Linked DNA regions of Pelodiscus sinensis. The protein of the gene in region 2 interacts with the protein of the main gene of each other region in a pairwise test. Links are inferred from orthologs where the notes say so. Each region holds a gene or a part of one and is shown on either strand. Other genes may lie near its edges.

Evidence for each region. The genes of interacting proteins can lie anywhere in the genome.
Region 1: the proteins of DAPP1 (region 2) and FXN interact in binary tests that used the Homo sapiens proteins (3 or more experiments, as listed by UniProt). The link is inferred for Pelodiscus sinensis from reciprocal best matches to the Homo sapiens genes DAPP1 and FXN.

Annotation. Positions count from the first base shown.
Region 1 is NC_134716.1:32,175,278-32,183,114, reverse strand, and holds the start of FXN (frataxin, mitochondrial), read right to left. Parts: upstream 3,011-7,837; 5' UTR 2,932-3,010; coding exon 2,830-2,931; intron 2,723-2,829; exon of another isoform or gene 2,445-2,722; coding exon of another isoform or gene 2,436-2,444; intron 1,526-2,435; coding exon 1,428-1,525; intron 1-1,427.
Region 2 is NC_134715.1:23,289,748-23,297,194, reverse strand, and holds the start of DAPP1 (dual adapter for phosphotyrosine and 3-phosphotyrosine and 3-phosphoinositide), read right to left. Parts: upstream 3,003-7,447; 5' UTR 2,818-3,002; coding exon 2,714-2,817; intron 1-2,713. UniProt on the Homo sapiens protein: May act as a B-cell-associated adapter that regulates B-cell antigen receptor (BCR)-signaling downstream of PI3K.

The sequences.
Region 1 (7,837 bases), on a different chromosome or scaffold from region 2:
GATACAATCAAAAAAAGTGAACAATTATAAAATTGTTTACGAATGGGCCTTAAAGATGCTAACTACCTTACCCATTACAAAGATAGCTTCCCCAGTTATCACCCCAACATCATCTCATAGACACTAACCTCCCGCCCTCACCCCCTTTCTGTTCTAAAATCTGATTTGTCAATTTTATGTGCGTTCATATTTTTTTATTGTATCCCTTTGATATATATGGTCATGCCAATTTTCTTCCACAATTTGATCTGAGGAAGTGGGTCTGGCCCACGAAAGCTCATCACCTAATAAACCATCTTGTTAGTCTTTAAAGTGCTGCATAGTCCTGTCTTTTGTTTCAGCAAGACCAGACTAACACAGCTACATCTCTATTACTATTATAGGAGAAAATATGTATTACTTTAGCATGAAACTCTTTTTTTGTAACAAATGCAAAACAGGAGCAATATCATCATGGGAACATGTTAACCATGAGATAGTCCCATGCGATTGGAGGTACTCTGTCATAAATTACCACATACCATAAAGCAACCTTATAAATGAGGTGGATTTTTTTTAAATCTGAAATTATAGACAGCTAATTGGACTAAATAGGTGTCTTTCTCCAGTTACTTCTATGCCCAGAATGTTACTGATGGAAGACTTCTTGATTATAAAATACAACATTGTTAAAGATTAAGCAGTTCTTGCAAGGACAGACTACATCTGCAAGGTAAATCTAAATAATTTGTATTTATAAACATATACTTATTATACAGGAAACAGCAACTGCATTTGTAAACAAAGTGAAGTGCTCATCATTCATATTCTTTTGTAAGTCCTATTCATTCCAACAAAATAATAATTTTGCACTTCTAATTAGTGTTCGTCCAGTAATCTCAAAACATGTTACAAATTAGGCAAATCTCTCAACATCTCCACTTTTCCAAAGGAGAAATAGAGGCAGCTGCAGCCCTAAAAAATGAGGTCTCCCAAAAAAAAGATCAAATTCAGTAGTACCCTTTCATCTAGTTTGCGTATCTGGGTATTGTGCATGCATACTTATAGCAATACACAATTCAGTTAAATGTCTGCAGTATCAAACAATGTGACAAGGCAAAAGTATGACAGTTACCATAAAACACTCTTCAGGAGTGTCTCACGCCAATTATCTCAGATATCTGAGGAACCATTTAGTCTACCTTACAGATGGCAAAACTAAAGAATGAATGATTTCACACAAGAAATCTGTGGCAAACCTGGAAAGAGAATTCAGAAGTGATAATTCCAAGTCCTTTCCTTACCCAAAAGGCTAACCTTTTCCCCCTAGTTCATATCAACAATCACACTATATTCATTTTCATGGCTGCCACATTTATAGATATTTTCTCTGGAATCTGTATGTACTGTCAGAATTCTGATACAATTAATTCAGAAAAAAAACTTACCTTTTATCATTCAAAGTTCCTGCATTTCTTAAATGAATAAAGTGAACACTATTGTTTTTAATCTTTAGAACGCGGTCTAACTGTTGAAGATGAGAATCCTAAAAAAAGAAGTTACATTAAACATTAACAAAAGCAATGGTACAAAATGTCAGTGTGTGTAATATTTAAGAAACAGAATCCCAAAAGCTGCTCTTTTTCAAGTTAAAGGTTCATTTGTTATCTTACAGAACCAACAAGGAAGCAAAAACTCTCTCAGAAGTCCCAACCCATACATCTGTGGCTGTGTCTAGACTGGCCAGTTTTTCTGGAAAATCAGCCACTTTTCCGGAAAAACTTGCCAGCTGTCTACACTGGCTGCTTGAATTTCCGCAAAAGCGCTGACTTCCTATTGTAAGAAATCAGTGCTTCTTGCGGAAAAGCTTTGACACTCCCATTCGGGCAAAAGTCCTTTTTGCGAAAAACTGTTGTGCAAAAGGGCCAGTGTAGACAGCTCAGATTTGTTTTCCGCAAAAAATCCCTGATCGCAAAAATGGCGATCGGGGCTTTTTTGCAGAAAAGCGCGTGTAGATTGGCATGGACGCTTTTCCGCAATAAGTGCTTTTGCGGAAAAGCGTTCGTGCCAATCTAGACACTCTGTTCCGAAAATGCTTTTAACGGAACACTTTTCCGTTAAAAGCATTTCCGGAAAATCATGCCAGTCTACACCCAGCCCTGTCTGTATTCTTGAAGCAGAAATACATGTTTAGGATACTCTTGCCTTTTACTATCATCTAGTAAAGGGGGAAAATCATCTTGTGTTTAAAGCACTAGAAAAGAAAACAGAAGATGGGCCTTCTGTTCCTTGGTTTGCCTCAGGCTTCCTACGCAACCTTGAACAAGTCACTTTAGCCAACACTTTCAAAAGCGGCCACTAACGGGGTGCGCCTGAGTTCCTGCCCCTGCGGTCTAGTGATGGCCAGGGCTGTCGCTGGCTTCCCCCGTGCACCATCTGCCACCTGCCCCCCTCACCCTCCACATTGCTCCATCCGAGGCAGCCACGTGGGGGCGGGTCCAGTGCTCCGGGGGAAGCCAGATGAAAAGCTGGGAAGCCCAATGAAAAACTGGCTTCCCCCGGCTCTCGCCTCCTCCTCCTCCTCCTCGGCGGATCTCTGCACGCGGCCAGCTCCGACCTGACTCCGCACCGCGCCCGCCGCTGACAGAGCAGTGTTACGGCCACCTAGTCGGACCGCCCCCCCGCAGCGCTTTGCATTCCCGGGGGCAGGAGCCCTCCGCTCCCGGTCGCAGCGCGGCAGGGGCAGCTCACGCGGCTGACGCTGCTCATGGAGAGACTCGCCCTGCAGACCCACGCGAGGGCCCCCCCCTTGCTCCCCTCCCCCCGCCGCGGCGGCGTCTCGCTACTCACGGGCTGGCGGCAGGAGGCGGCGGGTCCCGCGAGCGCCCCTCGCCACCCCGCGGCCGCGCGCAGCCCCCGGGCCGCAGCGCGCGCCGGCCCCGGCCTCCACATGCCGCCGCCGCCGCCGCGCGAGGAGTCGGCCAGACCCGCGCGCTGCAACCCGAAGTCCCGGGAACGGGCCCGGGCGCCGCCTCTACCGCCCTCCAGCGGCGTGGGGGGCTGCCGCCCGCCCCTTCGACGGGCACCGAATGGGCTGGTCGAGTGTTTCGCAACTTTTTTTGTTTTTTAAATAGCAAGTGCCCCTTTAACACACTAATTATTAGAAGCCCCAGTACCTGCAGTTTTCAGACACACTTTCTCCCCCCCCCCCCTTCTTGCACCGCATTTGTTTAAACAACTTAACCGGAGCCAGGCGGGCGATGAAATATTGGGGTGTAAAAAATACAAAAAAATAAAAATAAAGTGCTGTAAAACACCACAAAAATTCAGTTTTCTCCAAATTTCAGTTGTGCTGCTGTTACCACCCCCCCCCCCCCCCCCCATCTCTAGAGTAGCCCGAGGGTATTCGTACCACTGGTTGAGAAACACTGTGCTAGTCAATGACCTGGCACCATTCCGAGCACCCTGCTGCCCGCTCCTCTCAGTGCCAGAGGCCAGCAGGGGCTGCAGGTCTCCGCTCTTCCCTTCTTGCCCATCGTCACTTCCCTGTCCCAGTCAGGCAGCTCTCACTCTCTGGGTCACCCCTTCTCTGTACTAGAACTGGCTCTGGCAGTGCCAGCAGCACCCTCACCTCCAGCTCGCTGTAGAGCCAGGCCAGTCTCCTTGAGGTAAGAAAAGCCTGTTTGTGGGGAGACAGAGCAGCGTGCAACTCACATCTGGTTGTGCCACCCAGTGCACCCTAACAGGGAGCCAAACAAGGGACAACAGGCAAAGTTCCCATCCAAACCCAGAGTGCAGGTGAATTTTCAATCTCTTTCTGAAATAAAGTATAGGTATGTTTTTAAAGGATGAAATAATGAAAGGGACAGCCCAGAAAAGTGTTAATGCTACAGAAAAGACATATTATTACAACTGATCGAAATAAAAGCACAAGAAGGAGCAACTGCTGGAGCACCTGTTTGTATTCTCAGGGCTATTCCCTTGCCCAACTTCCAGAGTTCAAAAAACTATTGGATACCTCACATTAGGAGGTACAAAAGTCTCCAAAAGTTTCCATCACTTCTGTCCCCAACAGCCTTAACCCCCACTTCCAGATTTCATGGACATGGCAAAGGGAGTGCCCTGGCGTGGACCATGCCATGTCCCTGAAGGACACCAGAATTTGTGTGGGATTTTCAGAACTATAAAGTGACTTACAAGCATAACTCCCATTGACTTTCAAAACCCTTGTCCTATGTAAATATTTCTAGTACAACAGCCTTAAAAACAAATGTTTCTATCCACTTGAAGAAAACTCTGGTTGGCCCAACAGTGTTGAAGTCTCCTCTGTGGAGCAAAAACCCAACAGCTACAGCCACATCAGACTTCAGCATGAACACTGCTGCTCACCAGAAATCTGTTTCCCCATCCCCGTAGCAGCTTTTACCCTAATGATCCAGTAGATGGAGAGCTTGCACTTTCCATACAGACAGCAGCAGGGTATATATACTAGAATACATACCCTACTACCGGATTTTAGTTGGATAGAGAGGAAAAAAGGTGCATAGTTCATTACATAGTTTAAATTGTAGGGCCCCTCTACACAGGAAAATGACCCAGCATATCTACTAAAGCTCCCAATGTAGACTTTATTTCAAAATAAAAGTGACTTTATTCCAGCATAATTACTGCTCTCAAAAAGTAGAATAATTATTCCAGGACAAGTGACTCATTCTGGCATAATATCCATAAAGGGAGCTATTTTGCAGTAGATATACTGGGCAATTTTCCTGCATAGAGAGGAGCTTCTATTGATCCAATAAAGGGAAGACAAGATGTCCCATCTACTAAAATAGAAATCTATTTTATAGGGTTTCTGGAGAGGGTTGAGGATATGCTTCCCAGAACAATGAGGGAGTAATAAATGAGTTTTTGTAGGTGGCTGGCTGAGTTCCTGGTGAATTGATTATTTAAATAGTGCTAAGGTTTTATTCTGTTGTTAACGTGTGACAGTGCCTGAAGTTTCATACAGGCAAAGGGCTTTTCTACACCATCCCTGAAATCCCTCAATCCCCTCCAAGAGTCGAAGCACTGTTGCCAAAGTTATGTTCCATGCTGCTCCTCCTAAAATCAAACACCTTATCTAATTTCAATTCCCAGAGGTCGTCTCTGGTATATTTTATTATGAGACACTCAAATAAAATAGACTAAGTCTACTGGGGAGAGCATGGAAGGTTTCTGTTGGAAAAGTATAATGGAAATAAGTATCCTCTCTACAAAAAGAGCTCTCCTGCCCAAACAGAGAAATATGTAAGTTCCATTCCTTCCAAACAGTGACATTTAAAATGAAGGTTGTAGGCATTAAGTTATTATTTTGATTTATAGTACCTTTAGATTTTAGGAGCTTGTGGTCTAGATAAGGCAGCTGCAATTTTATGAAGCAGAATAATTCTGCATGTGACAGAGAAGACACACACAGTGGTCATAGAGATTTTACCTATGTTCTTTTGTTTTCTTTAACCCGATAAAACATTTTTCTCTGAAAAATGGGTTTTACTCATTAGGTCTAGAGAAACATAAGCTCCATTTCAAACACACAGTAAACTTTCAATTGAGATCTTAAAAAGCAATGTTTGCTTAGTCCATTGTTCATAACCATAACAATTCACCTCACCCTGTTAGCAGTCAGAGTTCTGTGCATTCACCCTCTCATCCTAGAGATGCTTGCATTTCTGTGCTACTGTGTTTGTGTCTATTACCTTTTGATTCCCAAGTCTAAATATGACACTAATTTTGATTCAAGATGGCCCAAACTTCCTTTTTTATATTCTTGTTGCTCCTGCTAAAGATAACAAGGGGCACAATATGAAGCATTAGTGATCTCTAGGTAGTTTTCATTGTGTTTCATTACACCCTTATGCATGGGTTCCATTGTTTGAGAACAAATAACTGTTCTTAACTAATTTTGGGGTGCCAAGTTCAAAAATTATATCAATTTTTTCCCATGATGTACAGATTTTCTGAAAACTGGAGTCTACTTTTTAAAAAAATGCTATTATGTGTTATACATTATATTCTGTGACTTATTTTCAAGAACTTAAAACTATATGCAGTGACATTTTCAAGAACTTGCATGCAAAAATACTTCAAATTGATTGAATTCATCAAAATGCTTAAATTAATTTACACCGATGCTGATAATGTTGGAGGCGATACTGAGTATCTACCAGAACATGCCAGTAATGAGCCACAACTTTTCACTCAAAGTGAATTGAATGACTTGGTGAGAGACCTGGATCTGCCTAAAGATTCTGCTGAGGTTTTGGGATCCAGACTTCAAGTGAAGAATTTGCTTTTTCCTGGGACAAGTTTTGCTTGGTATAGGAACCACGAGAAAGGTTTTGTTCCATATTTTTCTATGGCTGGTCTGTAGGTTTACTGCAATAACATTGCCAGACTAATAGAAAGCTTGGGGACAGTTTACCAACCAGGTGACTGGAGACTGTTTATTGACTCTTCAAAGACAAGTCTAAAAGGTGTTCCACTTCATAATGGCAATCGATATGCCTCTGTGCCCATTGCCCATTCTGTTCACTTAAGAGAAACCTATGAAAATCTTCTCCTTGAAATGGAGCATGAATGGACCATATGTGGAGATCTGAAGGTGCTGTGTATGCTGCTTGGTCAGCAGGCTGGTTATACAAAAACGCCATCCTTTTTATGCGACTGGGATAGCAGAGCAAGAGATCTTCATTGGGCAAGGAATCAGTGGCCACCAAGGGAGAGTCTGACTCCCGGCTCCAAGAATATAATTCATGAAAAACTGATTGAGCCCAACAATGGACTGCTACCTCCACTCCACATCAAGCTAGGTTTGATTAAACAATGTGTGAAAGCATTAAGCAAGAATGATGACTGTTTCAACTACATTTGCAACAAGTTCACAGCTTTGAGTTACCAAAAAGTTAAGGAACTTTGTGGGTCCTTAAATCAGGAAACTGACTCTTGACACTAACTTTGAAGAAACCATGAATGACACAGAGAGAGATGGTTGGGTGGCCTTCAGAAATGTCATACAACACTTCTTAGGGAATAACAAAGATCCTGATCATAAAAACATTGTTGGCAGCATGCTAAACAAATTTGAAAGATTTGGATGCAACATGAGTTTGAACGTTAATTTTTTGCGCTCCCATCTGGATTATTTTCCTGAAAATCTTGGAAGTGTCATTGAAGAGCAGGGGGAAAGATTTTCATCAAGAGATCAAGACGATGGAAAAGAGATATAAAGGATGCTGGGGTGTCAACATGATGGCTGATTACTGCTGGTCCTTGAAAAGAGAGACTGATGGTGAAATGCGTAAAAAGTTGTCAAAAAAGTGTCAATTCAGTCACATCTAATCATTTAAAATTACTCAGTTGTTAAATTTTACACTTTGCTCCTTTGTTCTTTAAACAAGGACTTACAACAGACCTTCTAAAACAGTGTTTCTTAAACAGTGATCCGTGGCACACTGGTGCGCCGCGAGGCAGTCAGAGTTGTGCAGTGGAGGGCAACAGAGTTCAAAATGGCCACCCTTAATGGGACAGGCAACTCCCCCCACCAATAACTTTCCCCCCAACATTTTTTTTTTCCCCTCAACAAAAAGTCCTTGGTGTTCCTCAAAAAAGATTGTTTGGTGTTCCTCCATTTTTTAAAGTTTAAGGAACACTCTTCTAAAAAACTATAACTTACTATTTACCAAGTTAACGCATAAGGTGTAATAAAAAGCATGAAAAATGTCCAATTTTTCTTTTTGATTTGTGACAAATCCTTACGTGATAGAGCAAAATAGATGCCATTGTTAAAATCAGCATACCAAATTATGTAGTCACCAAT
Region 2 (7,447 bases):
CTTCCAATTCAGAGACAATCTGTATCTCCAAGTCAGCGGCACAGCCATGGGCACTCACATGGCACCACAATATGACAACATCTTTATGGATGACCTTGAACAACGTTTCCTCTACTCTCACCCCCTAACACCCATACTTTACTTACGCTACATCGACGACATCTTCATCATATGGACCCACAGAAAAGAGACTCTTGAATTTCACAAGGATTTCAACAACTTCCACCCCACCATCAACCTCAGCCTGGACCAGTCCACACATGAAATCCACTTCCTGGACACTACAGTACAGTTAAATAATGGACAAATTTCCACCACCCTATTCCGGAAACCCACCGACCGCTACACTTACCTTCATGCCTCCAGCTTCCATCCCAGACAGCTTTCTCGATCTATTGTATACATCCACACCCTAAGATACAACCGGATTTGCTCCAATTCCACAAACAGAGACAAACACCTACAGGATCTATATAGAGCATTCCCAAACCTGAAATACCGCCTGGAGAAGTTAATAAAACAGATTGGCAAAGCCAAAAAAGTACCCAGAAAGTACCTACTTCAAGACAGACCCAAAAGAGAAAATAACAGAATTCCACTTGTTGTTACCTATAATCCACAACTCAGACCCCTCCAGTGCATTATACACAATCGTCTTGGAAAATGATCCCTCACTCTCAGTGGCCTTGGGAGAAAAGTCTATTCTCGCTTACAGACAATCCCCCAACCTGAAACAAATTCTTTCCGGTAACCATGACACACAACCACATCATAAGTATCCAGGAACTCAGCCCTGCAACCAACCACGGTGCCAACTCTGCCCACATATCTATACAAACGAATTCATCACTGGAGCCAACAATATAAGTGACCAAATCAAAAGGTCATTTGACTACACATCCAGTAATTTGATTTATGCCATCAATATATATTGGACAAACTGGACAGTCCCTATGGGAAAGAATCAATGGACACATAAAGGGAACACTTTAATCTTCCTGATCACTGTTTAAAAGATCTTCAAGTGGCTGTCTTATTACAAACCAATTCTACTAGCCAAATACACAGTGAGGAGTTGGAATTACAATTCATCTGCAAGTTCAATTCTCATGCTAAAGGCCTCAATCATGATGTGGGATGATTGGGACACTATCAACCTAACATTCAATGAAGGTGCAAACAGCCCTTTATGTAGATTCCTGTGTTAGGAAGGGTACTATATATTGACTTTGATTCTTATCTGGTTCCTTTTAACTAACCAATCTTCAGGTGCTCACTGATTCTCAGTTCTGCCTTCCTGTTTTTCCCTTTGATATTTCCATACCCTCTACTCCTTGTTTCCCGCCCCCCTCCTTTTTTTCCTTCCCCACCTTCTCCCCTCTTTATTTTAGATTTGCACATCCTAAACTCAAAACTCTGGTCATCTGAAGAAGTGGGCTGTGCCCATGAAAGCTCATGATATCATCTACATGTTTTGTTAGTCTATAAAGTGCTACCAGACCATTTGTTGTTTTTTAATTTTATCCTGTACAGACTAATTCAGCTACCCCCTGAAGCGTCTGAACAATCTCAAAAGCAGTGATGACGCTCTCTTTCTGCAACACCATCTAACTGCTAGACATTGCATGATAAGATCTGCAAAAGACAGTATTTTGTCATCACAAAATTTCCCAGGAAACAAATATACAGAGATTGTAACATTGTAAAGTCACACTCATATACCATATTGGGTGAGATGTCATCACAGTAAAACTATGCAATCAGGTCACCAAAGGGATGGCCTGGTACTGTGAAGTTATTAGTACTATGGAGGTGAGTGGGGAAGAAATATAAAACTATCATCACTTTTGAAATTGCCAACTGTGGCAATTGATTCCAACAGAAATGTATAATTACCAAATGTTATTCAGAGTGCAACAATTAATTTAATGCAGTCAGATAGATAGATAGATAGATAGATAGACCTAACTGTCTATCTATTACAGAATCTAACTCAGTAAGTCATATACATTAGACCATATCTGAACTGGACATAATTAGGAAACAGTTCCAAATGCTCTGGCAACCCATGAAATCCTGTAATGGTTTTCTTTTTCTCTCCTCACCTTGGGAAAGTCCCTTTATTTTGCATACATGGATGAAAAATAATGATCAATTCTGTTTAAAATGTCCAGGCAAAATATGCTAACTCCCAAACCCTACTCAGTACCTGCTGCAGGCGTGACAGCTGCGGAATGCCCCTCTATCTATGCAGTTGCCTGCAGATTTTTCCACTTTTTTGTTTACATTTTGAGTGGTTTAACAGACCCTCCTTCTTTTTCTCCCAACAGTGATTCTGAAGCAGCCCCTCACACTGACCCCTGTGGGCTGGTCCCACACAAGTACATCCAGCTGCAGTGAGAGCCCCATGCAGGCAAACACACCGAGCTGATGGTGCCAACAACTTCCTCATAGCTGGGGGGGTCAGAGGAGACAACCATCACGGCGACCCTTCCCTTCTCCTCCCCCCCGCCCATCTGGGGCAGCTCTCATGGCTGACCCAGCCCGGGATTCCTATGCCTGCTCGCCATCCCCACAATGCAGAGCCATTCCTGCCTTCCCAGCCGCGCGGGAAAGGAGGCTACGGGCCAGCGGGAGGGAGCGGCAGCTGGGTAACAGCTGGGCCAGCAATGGGCTGGCTGCCCGAAGCCCGGGGGGTCGCGCTGCCCCTTACCCGAGGCTCTGCAGCTCCTCGAGCACTTCCTCGTCTTGCCCCTCGCTGGGAAGCCCCTTGGGTCGGCTCATCTTCTTGCCTCCTCCCGGCTCTGTTCTTCCCATCCGCCCTACCTGCGGCTTGCGCCCCACGCCTGGGGACCGCGCTCCGGACTGGGTGGCAGGCGGGGCTCCCCGCCCCGCCCCGTCCCTCGCTCGGCAGCCGCGCGGACGCTCGCCCAGCGCAGCAACCTGCTGTCTGGAGAGCGAGGCCGAAGAGGAAGTGAGAGCGAGTCCCTCCCTGCGCCCAGCCCGCCTGCCCCAGGCGCAGACACAAGGGAGCGCTGGCCCCCGGTTAGCGCAGCGCATCACCTCCTGACCAGCGCGCGCGCTGCGCTGGATGGAAGCCAGGCTGGGGCCCCGGCTCAGGCTGAGGAGATGGAGGAAGGGGTTGTGTGTAGGGGCAAGCCTAGGCGCGCACACACAGCCCAACAGCCTTTCTTGGGACTCCCCACCTCACAGGGGCATGGGGGAGAGTTTCCTGGCAATGGTCCATAATTTTATGGCTGGAGACCTAGTCTGGCTTTCCTTCCAGCCTCTCTCCAGAAGCTCAGCAAGGGCAGTCTACACAGCAGCATTATTTTGGAATAACTGAGCGTATCCCAAAATAACAGGATACGGCTACACTACACAGTTTTTCCAAGATAGCAAAGGTATCCTGGAAAAACTGTTCTGCGTTCAGGGAACCCGTTTGCTCTTCTGTGTTTTTGGGGGGAGAGCAAACGCGCTCTTTCAGAAGCCCCTGTATTCTTCATTGCACAAGGAATAAGGGGGCTTTTGAAAGAGGGTTTTTTCTAACATTTGGCCTAGTCTAGACGGGCCAAATGTCAGCAAAGCCTCTTCCGACGAAAGAATCGAAAAAAGCTACGCAAAATGCAATATGCATTTTGCGTAGCTTTTTTAGAAAAAAAAGCAGCAGTATAGTCGTACCCATAGTATGCATCTACACTACAAGCCTTTATTTCAAAATAATGTGGAGTTGGAGGACTTCTTACTTCAACTCATGGTAGCCCTCATTTCAGGAGAAGTAAGAGAAGTGGAAGGAAAATTGTTCTTCCTTTAACTTCCTGCTGTGGAGACAGTGCCAAAAGCTGCATTAAGCTATTTTGACTTCAGCTACACAATTGACATAGCTGATGTTGTGTAGCTTAATTCGAGTTTTGCCCTGCTGTGAAGATGTACCCCAAGATATGGACTGATCCTAGGCTCAGAGTTTACATGACAGATACAAATGCTTATTGATGCAGTTTCTCTAGCACCGCATGCAGCTTTCTGTTACAATCATTGTTTGGATAGAAAGGGAGTATTGACCTTCACCTGACTCCAGTGGATTGTGTTTTCTTCATGGAATTGGTAAGTTTAGTTTGTGGTTTGGATGGGCAAAAGCCCAGCACCTTTCTATCAACTGTCTTTTAAGACAATGGAATTGCCAGACTGTGTCAGGCCTGAGGGCCATCTAGTCCATCTCTGACAGCGCCTCAGTGCCGATGTTTCAGAGAAAGAAGCAAGAATGCTGTAATAGGCAGATGTTGAATAGTTTCACCACCCCCATCCCTTATATTAGGGATTTAAATAAACATGGCCGCCGCTTTTTTTCCAGCTTGGGGAAAAGCCGGAAAAAAGCGTCTAGACTGGCGCGATCCTCCGGAATAAAGCCCTTTTCTGGAGGATCTCTTATTCCTACTTCGAAGTAGGAATAAGAGATCCTCTGGAAAAGGGCTTTATTCCGGAGGATCGCGCCAGTCTAGACGCTTTTTTCCGGCTTTTCCCCAAGCCGGAAAAAAAGCGGTGGCCATGTTTATTTAAATCCTGCGGGGGATATTTAAATCCCCCGCGGATTTCCCTATTCCCAAGTTCAAAATTAGCATGCCCCTTCCGAAGAAGGGGCCAGTGTAGACGTAGCCACAGTGTCTTCTTAGTCTGTAACAGGAAACTATCTTAATCCAAAAGCATGATGTTTAATATCCTGTCCCAAATTTTTGCAAGACTTAATTATAATTTTGTGGTGAATGTGGTTTTCCAACTAGAAAAAAAAAAGTAAAAAACGCATCTGAACGGATTTAGGCTCATTGTACCTGTGCAGCCCTTCGTGAAATCTTTTTGTCTATTGCGTATGCAAACTCATGCTTCTCAGTGCTTATCTGACTAGTAAGTGTGTCATATAATCTGTAAACATTGCATAATTGTTTGCAGATGTCATAAAAACTCATTTAAAATCTTGGTTTACACGCAACAATCTTTCATTCAACATGCTAATGTAAATGTTGATAACAAAATGAAACACTTTTCCTTATCCATTGCAGCTGTGTTTTACTTTGTTGTGTAAATTACAGTTGCTCTTAAGTGCTTTTAAAAACACTATACATAGTGGAGAGTTCTCTGAAAACTTCCATACAGTGTGCAGCGGCGGTCAAAAGGGCAAATAGGATGCTAGGAATTATTAAGAAAGGGATAGAGAATAAGACCCAGAATATCTTACTGCCCCTGTATAAAACTATGGTACGCCCACATCTTGAATACTGTGTACAGATGTGGTCTCCTCACCTCAAAAAAGATATTTTGGCCTTGGAAAGGGTTCAGAAAAGAGCAACTAAAATGATTAGGGGTTTGGAACGGGTCCCATCTGAGGAGAGGTTAAAGCGACTGGGACTTTTCAGTTTAGAAAAGAGGAGACTGAGGGGAGATATAATAGAGGTATATAAAATCATGAGTGCTGTGGAGAGGTCAAATAAAGAAAAGTTATTTATTAGTTCCCTAAATAGAAGAACTAGAGGACACCAAATGAAATTAATGGGTAGCAGGCTTAAAACTAATAAAAGAAAGTTCTTCTTCACACAGCGTGTAGTCAACCTGTGGAACTCCTTGCCAGAGGAGGCTGTGAAGGCTAGGACTATAATAGATTTTAAAGAGAAGCTAGATAATTTCATGGAGGTTAGGTCCATAAAAGGCTATTAGCCAGGGAATAAAATGGTGTCCTTGGCCTCTGTTTGTCAGAGGCTGGAGAGGGATGGCAGGAGACAAATCTCCTGATCATTGTCTTCGGTCCACCCTCTCTGGGACACCTGGTGCTGGCCACTGTCGGCAGACAGGATACTGGGCTAGATGGACCTTTGGTCTGACCCAGTACGGCCGTTCTTATGTTCTTATGTACACACCCCCCCTAGAAATTCTATCACATTGCTGCTAGTTCATGCACTTTTGTCATTGCAGGTGCTTTAAAAAGCCTTCCTACCAGGATAAAAGTTTTGCCATGGCAAGTGGCTAATTGTTGTCAGGAGTGCTCTCCTGTCAACAACATGAACCCCACTTATAGGGGGTGGAAATATTTTGTTGGCAAAAGTGCTGACTACCAGTGTTCTCACTGACAGACTTTTAGCAACATGGCAGTGTCGACATGGCCAAGTCACTAAAAGCTGTGTAGTGTAGACAAAGTCTCAGGCTTGATTACCTACAGTTAAATTTCTCTGTAAATATGCCTTTTTTATTAACATGCCAATGATAGCATTTGTCCAAATCCAACAATAAGATTGCAACCTATTTTTTTACCATGTATATAAGTGTTTTGAATCCATGCTCATAGAATAATGTGTGTGCTAATTGAAAGTTGCCCTGAAAGTGGGACCATGCTGCAAAATGAGCTCCCTCCATGACTAGGTCTAAGAAACACAATCATTCCATGAGTGACAAGTGACTTGTGCAGGGTGCATACAGACAGTACTTGACAATGGTACTGCTTGAAAACCTGCTCCTGACCTACTCTGGCTGCTTATTAGGTAATATGGGTAATTAGAAGATGTAATTCACCACCAGTGTGGCTCCCCAGGGGGTCATGCCAGTGATCATGCCATTCAGAGTATAGATATATGATGAGTCCTCTCTATGTTACATCTTCCACTGTTGCTACAGCCATGGAGCTGTTCCAGTGGTGAATTACAAATTTCCTATGTAAATAAGGCCTGTCAGCTGGATTGGGGGAGGGAGAGTGGGAAAGGTGGAAGAGATCCAAGACAGAGAAACTCCTTCCTGCTCATTATTACCACTCACTTGGATAATATGTATCCCCAGTGATTCATGAAGAAGGCAGTCTTTTTTCCTGCTACTGCTGCCTTCTTCACTTCTTCATTTAAGCCTTTCAATGGTGTATCTTCTCAAGGCTCTCTTCAATTCTCTTCTCCACACGTGGTTCCACACCTGCCTATTAGCAGATCTGTCATGGGATTTATCCCCTGAAGTCCCCGCAGAAGGGAGAGGTCTGATGACTGTCCCCAAAGATGTCAATGGCCCAATGGATGCAGTAGACTATCAGGCCTCCTTCATCTCAAGAAGATAATATCATAAAGTGAGAGGAAGAGGCTGAGGGGAGTTATCCACCTCAAGGAATGGGGTTTTCATAGCTTCAGAAAAGCATCAACTTCCAGACATTTAATCAAGCTCCAAACTCTTTGACATTTTCCCTTTGCTGGTGTTTATTCATTTTTCCAATACTGTTAGTTTTGGTGGATGGTCTTATAATTTTTTCAAAATAGCGGGTGCATTTGGTGTATCTTTTTATATGTGTATAAGGCAATGTTCCTGCTGAATTGATCAAACATGAAAGTTTAGCAAGGACTGCCTCGTGCCCCTGATAATTAAAGATTCATAGGGTGGAGGCCAAAAGAGATCACTAGTCTGACCTCTTGCATAACACTGGCTAGAG